2 linked regions of the Rattus norvegicus genome follow. The protein of the gene in region 1 interacts with the protein of each later gene in a biochemical or structural test. Links are inferred from orthologs where the notes say so. Each region holds a gene or a part of one and is shown in the gene's direction. Other genes may lie near its edges. The genes, in order: Creb1 and Rps6ka5.

Region 1 (3,826 bases):
ATACAAATGGGAACTAGATTAGATTGGGAGACTAAATTGATAGTTTAAATTTCAACCATAATCCTAAATAAGGAATATTTCTTCATGCTACAATTTTATGTAGTTATCTATAAGTATATATAGAGAGAACCAGGCATGCAAGGTGTGTAACTGTAATCCTAGTACTGGGGAGGCTAATGCAGGAGGATTGTGATTTTCCTGAGATTCATAATAAGACACCTTCTTAAAAACCAAAATAAGCCAGGTGGTGGCGATGCATGCCTTTAATCTTGGCACTTAGGAAGCAGAGGTAGGCAGATCTCTTGAGTTTGTGGCCAGCCTGATCTAAATAGAGTGACAGGGTGAGTTTCAAGATACCAGGACCACACAGAGAAACCCTGTCTCGGGGACACACACACACACACACACACACACACACACACACGGCTTGGAGTGGGTAGAGGGAGATGGGTCTTCTAAAAGATTCAAATTCAATCCCCAGGACACATACAGCATCTCACAGCCATCTGTAACTCTAGTCATACGATATACAGTGTCCTCCTTTGGATTCTGCAGGCACTAAACATGTACAAATAAAACACCCTAGCGCATAAGATAAAAAAAAACAAAACATATGTAGTTTTATTTATTATCCACCACCACCACCCCCATTACCATCACGCAATTCTTGCATTTAAAGTTCCTACTTTGTTTGGAGTTTATTCATGTGTTTGAATTTTTGTCCTATACATTAGCAGTTTCTAATCTTAATTTGTACTTAGTGACTTTTTTTTAATTAAAATAGCTCCTTATTTTTCTAGGAAAATTTTGAATGACTTATCTTCTGATGCACCAGGGGTGCCAAGGATTGAAGAAGAAAAATCAGAAGAAGAGACTTCAGCCCCTGCCATCACCACTGTAACAGTGCCAACCCCGATTTACCAAACTAGCAGTGGGCAGTATAGTGAGTAATACGTTTTTCTATTATGAAAAGTGAGAAGGAAAACTGTTAGGTTCTCTTTAAGGAAATGATAAATGCCAAAGCTTTTGCTGGCAATATTGTTTGCCCTACTGTCAGACATTATTGAAGAATTGTTAAAAGGCATTTATGGGAATGTCACTCTCTTTTTTCTTTTACCCATTCCTGCCTTCCACCATGTTTCTTACATGATTCACACACAAATTACTATTTTTAATTTTAGCATGGTGTTGGCTTGCCAGCCTGTAATTTGTATTCCAGCTGTATTTAAAGTGGATTCCTAAAGCAAAATTTTTAGTTTTTCCAACACGGAAACTTTTGGTATTATTTATAAAGAAGGGTAATTTTTTAATATTTGCTAGTTTTATTTATGAGTGTGTGTGTGCCTGCATGGGTTTATATGCATCACATGTGTGCAGCAGTTCTGGGAAGCCTTTGGATCAGATCCTGTGGAGATAGAGTGACAGACAATTGTGAGCCACCTAATGTGGGTGCCAAGAACCAAGCCTAAGTCCTCTACAAGAGGATTAAGCGTTCTTAACCACTAGGTCATCTGTCTGAACACTAGGGGTGGTGTTCTTGATAAATTGTCTTTACTGTCTGTGATAACTGAGCTAAATAAACTTAGATGGACTTTTTTCCTTAAACTATTGGTAGCTGTAAAGGGGTACATCTTCCCCACCCTGGCCTGGCTCTGTGTCTGTATGTGTGTGTTTACATAGCTTCATACCCAGATTATTTTAAGTGTTCAAGATGGTTCTTCTCTGATATTGTACAAGACTTCTCCTCCAGCATGAACACACGGAGGGTATAACCTATCCCTGTCCTAATTCACTACTTAGGGAGTTTCGCTTGAATTAGGAAAGAAAGACACACAGGAGCTGATGAGGAGGATGAATGGATTGCCTACCATTCCCTTAGATGCTTCAGTTTAAACGTACTAGTACTTTGAGTTTTCTTAAAGCTTTATTCACCTTATATACCATCCTTTTGTACATGCATGTGTGCCTTTGATGAAAGTGATTTAGCATTATGTTCTTGACTTTTCTTTTCCACTAAGAAACAAAGTACTGAATACTCACATGTATGGCAAACTGCTTATTTTGTAACTTGTTTATTTAAAAAAAAATTTTTTTGTTTTATGTGTATGAGTGCTTTGCTTGCATTGTATATCAACAGCACATGTATGTGGTGCCTGTAAAGGTTAGAAGAGAGCATTGGATCCCCTGAAACTGAAGTTACAGGTGGCTGTTAGCCACCACGTGGGTGCTGGGAATTGAATTTGGGTCTTTTGGAAGAGTAGTCAGTGCTCTTAACCTCTTAAGTCATCTCTGCAGTCCTGTGTAAACCTCTTTCTCATTCTTTCCTACTTGTATTCATCCCTCCTTTTTCATTCTGCTTTTTTCCAAAAGCTGTCCTTTACAGAATCTCAGCTATTACAATTTAATTGTATTTAGATTATTTAAGTTAAAATTTAACATAATTATATTTCTTTGTTCATATTTCTTGGTAGCAATTTAATTATACCTAGAGATAATGAATTTATTTTAATGAATTTGGTTTTGTCAGAACTATCTTATACTTTTAAAGTAATCAAGTGTACAAATAAATATTACACAGTTAAAAATGTTTAAATCTTAGATGAGACTTTTATTTTCAAAGAATTGTCGTGTGTGTGTGTGTGTGAGACCTTACTGTTTAAAACAACTATATCTGTTACATAAGAGCAGATGTTTTTAGATTTCCAGGAAAAATAACAAAATCAAATGATCTTAACAGAGTAGCCCATATCTTTTCCTTCCATTCACTTTGAGGTTGTTGCTGTGTAATCAAGAAAAAGTAGAATGTTAATTAAATACACTTGAATTTGCAAATTAACTCCAGGAGAAATGAAGATTTGATTTTGATAACCTTATGATTCTTTAAAAGTCCTTGTTCCCCGACCCTCTTCGTGTATTTTTATTTTATGTGTATGGATGTTTTTGTGCACCAGATGTGTGCAGTACCAGCAAAGGCCAGAAGAGGGTGTCCTGTCCCCTAGAACTAGTTGCTCATGGCTGTGAGCCTCCCTGTTGATGCTGGGAATAGAACCTAAGTTCTCTGAGAGAGCAGCCCTATCTCCAGACCTTTCCAAGTAATCTTACAAAGTTAATCGTAGAATAATTCATAGACATTTTTTAACATCTAAGATAGTAAAATCTGGAATTAGCTAACATAGCATTATATATGCTAGTATGTTAATTTCCACAAATTTATCACCTTGATAAAGTGACTAATAGTCATGAACTCATAGCTCTTGATTGAACAGTGAATTATCCATTTTCTGTGCGCATACCACTCAGGATAGTATAATTACCCAGAGGTCACCGATAATCCTAAATTAATTTACTTCTGTTATACAATAACTTAATTAGGTACATTGGTACCACATTTTTTTTTTAACTTTCCTTTTAATGCAATTATAATCCATTATGAAGAGCTGGGAACAAACCTCAGTTGACAGGGTGTATTCCTACCATGTGTGAAGGTTTGATTCTCAGCACTTGCCCATCATATGCGCGTGCACACCAACACACACACACACACACACACACACACACAATTTATGAAATTGCTCAGGTAAAATTATAATTTTTAGGTTTTTTTTTTTTTTTGAAAACTTGATCCTTGGATTTATCTGAGGAGTCAATCATATTTTTCAGTTCCAGTATCCAAAGATCATGTATTTCAAACAAGATAAGAACTTACCTTTCAAGTAACTTTTTCTTTGCACTGTTGTGTAAGGTTGACTTGGATGAGTGCTGAGTGATTTTCATTTGCCAGATAGTAGCTATTGTGCTTCTTCATCAGCAGTCAATAGAAGGCTCT
Region 2 (3,826 bases), on another chromosome or scaffold:
GAGCCATCTCTTCATCCCCTGTAAGAGTGTTTGTTTGTCTTTTTGTTTTTATCAAGAGTATCTTATTACAATAATATGTGTATATTTGTGTGTGAAATGTTACATAAAACACATTCTTTTGTATGGTACAGAATCATTTTGGGAAAGGTTCTTTATCAGATACAAGATACTCTGCCTATTGAACTGTGTCATGGTTGGTCCTCTCTGGCCACGGAAGTGCCTGTAGTGTGGATTGCCCTGGCTATCCAGAGAGCGCCTCTTGCCTATCCCACGGCACTGGAGAACATGCCCAACTGTGTGTAGGTGTTTGTTGGGAAACTAGTAAATGTCCAAGCTCGCACAGAGTGATCACATGTCACTAATCACTCTGGCTTATCACATCATCCTTCCACTGGGCTTATTATTTTCCAAAACTCAATTTTAAGTTTAGTTATTCTGAAAACATGGAATGCAAATTTAATAATTGATAAATTAAAGATGAACTTTTATGAAACTTGTTATTTTTTTAGTTTCAAATAATTCTTGGGCTGCTTTATTTGATGGTTTTTTTTTTTTTTTGAGGTCAGTTGAGTTATAAAAGAATATTACCAGCAATGCAAAGGCTTACAGGCTTGTCAGGTTTGGGGATGGAATAGGGAGGAAGTCTCTGTCTTTCCTTTGAGTTGGGCTATTTCTGCCAGAAGATGGCATTATCTCCTTCAGAAAAGCACTCGCTATTGAGTCGATGCTGTGTTTTGAATAAAATAAAATTATCTTCTTCTGAACACTTTTTTTCTATGAAAAGAAATGGTCACCATCTAGACTGCCCAGCTGTGAGACTGCAGACCTCTGTTCTTTAGCCTCCCTTCTCTTTTTAGGGCTACTCCTTCGTTGCTCCTTCCATCCTCTTCAAGCGTAACGCGGCGGTCATAGATCCCCTTCAGTTCCATATGGGAGTAGACCGCCCTGGAGTGACAAACGTTGCCAGGAGCGCAATGATGAAGGTACCTAGGGGTGGCTGCCTCAGTGTGGATCTGTGGTTTGTGTGGATTTTAAACACTCAATGATGTTCTTAAGTCCAGAAAATTTACTAGATTATCATCCAACCAAAGGCAGTTTTATAAAAATGAATAAATACATGGAAATAGCAGTGTTTTCCCTAGAAGATTGTCAATCTCAATGTATACGAGTTCCTTTTACCATGATAAAGGACAGCATATTTGGGACAAATGTAAGGAACATATAAATATACTAAGTGAGTTCTAATGGTTCAGTATATTGCATTCAAATTTGTTAATCATTTCACATTAAATTGCAGCTTTACATATGCTTTGTGTATTACTACCAACCTTTTATTAAATTAAATGGTGTTGATCTTTCGTCAGGACTCACCATTCTACCAACACTATGACCTAGATCTGAAGGACAAACCTTTGGGAGAAGGAAGTTTTTCAATCTGTCGGAAGTGTGTACACAAAAAAACTAACCAAGCCTTTGCCGTCAAAATAATCAGCAAAAGGTATGGCCAGTCCTAGCAGTCTTTCTTGGGGCTTTATACTACTTGGGGTTCTGGAGAAGGAAATCAGCTGTTTCCCTTGCAAGGCTGTTTACACACAGGCTTGGCTATTTACTATGTTAGCTGATCTCCAGCACCTCTAGCACCAATGTTTTCTGATGAGTCAAACAGTTTTGGACAAATCAGAATCTGTTGTGTTCTATGTGAAAACTGTCTTGCGGTAATGAAATATTTAATCAGATTTGCTTGGTGACTTCTATTAGTTGAATGTTTGAAGTCAAAAGTATTCAACAAGCTTCCTGATGGCTTTGAGAACAGAGCCTGCTAGCTGTTCTGGTACTGGGTTATTACCATTGCTAAATTGTCAGCAGGAAGAACATACATTTCTTTGTATGACTAGCTCTCTTCTGATGAAGAGGGAGTCATTTTCTTTTTAAAAAGTTTTACTTTCCTGGTGGGTGGTATGCTTATTACTTTCGTGGATATGTCATTTTGAGACTTTGACACAAGTATTCTGAGTGCACTGTAAATAAAAACAGGGAGGGAGCACTGCTGCAGACTCTGCTGGAAGAGACATAGAAATGTTGACTATTTGACCTTGCAGGATGGAAGCCAATACTCAGAAAGAAATAACAGCTCTGAAACTCTGCGAAGGCCACCCCAATGTTGTGAAGCTGCATGAAGTTTTTCATGACCAGGTATTTCATGGCTTCCCTCTGTCCATGTACATGGGCTAGACCATATACAGGGTTCAGCTTCTTACCAGTTTTATTGGTGCTGCTGAGTGAAACTCAGGGACTATCACCCAGCCTCAGGGAAGAGGAGAAAAGGTAGCTCACACACTCTCACCCCTGAATCATTGCATCCTGTTCCTTCACCTTGCCTCCCTAGGTTGCCATATTGGCATGGGTGGATGCCAGAGGGGAAGAGCCCAATAAGCCACTGTCACAGATTTCAGAGTGCTTATTGTGAGTGAGGCTGCCATCTCCCTCACTTAACTATGCATAGTCAGTACTTGGTGACTTTAAGCCTTCAACATTCCTTACATTTCTAGCATCAAACAGACTGACTCTTAAGCCCACTTGCTGCAAGTTAAGGACAAATGGGAAGCAGAAAGACAAAAATGCTCCCTTTCATCTTGTTCCAGGTGTCAGCATCTGCTCAACCTCCAGGCCAGGTTGTTGTATGTTCTCTTCTACCCTTAGCTCTGCTTCTCAACAGAAGTCTTACACAGAAGCCTGTCACTTGGACAGATAGAAATATCGGTGGTCCACAGCACCTCTCAGCTCCCTGCATTGTCACCTCCCATGCCTGAAATTGTGCTATTTCAGTATTCTTTTCTCTGACAGTGGACAGGTATCACAGCCTTCTCAGGACTTCAGCTTGTTACCCTTCTATGCCTATCTATTAAGGCACAAATGTGAAAACAAGTCCTGAACGTGTTTTTTCCTTCTTCTAATTTTAACAACAAAGGACCTGAGATTCCTAAAAGTCTTGAGACTTTTTCCAGCATCCGTAGTCAGTGAAAATCTAGAAAGAACCTCTTCCAGACTCACATCATTCTGTTGATGTGACATTCTTGACTAGAGTAGCTTTGGGGACTCGGTTCTGAGTACCATAACTAAGAGTAACATCATGGTGATATCAGGTGGCAGCAGGAACACATTGTCATTATAATCTTTTGCTGTATTATCTTAGTCCTTGCCTTAACACTGTAATGTCAGAAAACAACCCATAGAAGTTCAGCTTGTTAATGGTAAGGCTGGTATCTAAGCCCCACCATTCCAACTTCAGACCCTAACAAGCTTTTAACTACTTTGCTCTGCTCTATTAGAGGAGGCAGGTACACAGTCGGGTTATTATGTCAGATAACAAACATCTAAAAATGGTATCATCTTCTCCTTCCTCTGGTTCTCATGAGAAGAGAAGCTATTGAAGCAAGAACTCTTGAGAATGCTCTCCTTGCCTTCTACCTTGTTGACCTACTCAGATTCTCATGGGAGCAGTGAATCCCCTGTCCATTTGAGGTGCATGCTAAAAGACAGCGTCCTGTTGATGCAGATACAGAGAAAACTCACCTATCAAGAAACTGATGGATGACCTCAGACACCCCACCTGTAGTTTTGCAGCTGTGATCCTCACTGAATCTCAGCCCAAACACTGGATCTTGGAACTTCTGACTAGTATCATGGCTCAAGAATTCTATACCTAGCTTTTAAATTTATGTTAAAAGCTTATTTTTGGCAATTTTTAAATTTCAGACTCCTTGGAATAGGAATTTTCTTATGATCTAATGCTACATGTAGTAGTATAAATATAATAATAATTCTG

What was found.
Region 2: of the proteins of Creb1 (region 1) and Rps6ka5, one has a biochemical effect on the other in vitro, tested with the Homo sapiens proteins (3 studies listed by BioGRID, with this or other methods). The link is inferred for Rattus norvegicus from reciprocal best matches to the Homo sapiens genes CREB1 and RPS6KA5.

The regions. Positions count from the first base shown.
Region 1 is NC_086027.1:73,432,042-73,435,867, forward strand, and holds part of Creb1 (cyclic AMP-responsive element-binding protein 1), read left to right. Parts: exon of another isoform or gene 1-800; coding exon 801-943; exon of another isoform or gene 944-3,804; coding exon of another isoform or gene 3,805-3,824; intron 3,825-3,826.
Region 2 is NC_086024.1:125,575,150-125,578,975, reverse strand, and holds part of Rps6ka5 (ribosomal protein S6 kinase alpha-5), read left to right. Parts: intron 1-857; coding exon 858-983; intron 984-1,364; coding exon 1,365-1,498; intron 1,499-2,099; coding exon 2,100-2,193; intron 2,194-3,419; coding exon of another isoform or gene 3,420-3,431; exon of another isoform or gene 3,432-3,826. UniProt on the Homo sapiens protein: Serine/threonine-protein kinase that is required for the mitogen or stress-induced phosphorylation of the transcription factors CREB1 and ATF1 and for the regulation of the transcription factors RELA, STAT3 and ETV1/ER81, and that contributes to gene activation by histone phosphorylation and functions in the regulation of inflammatory genes.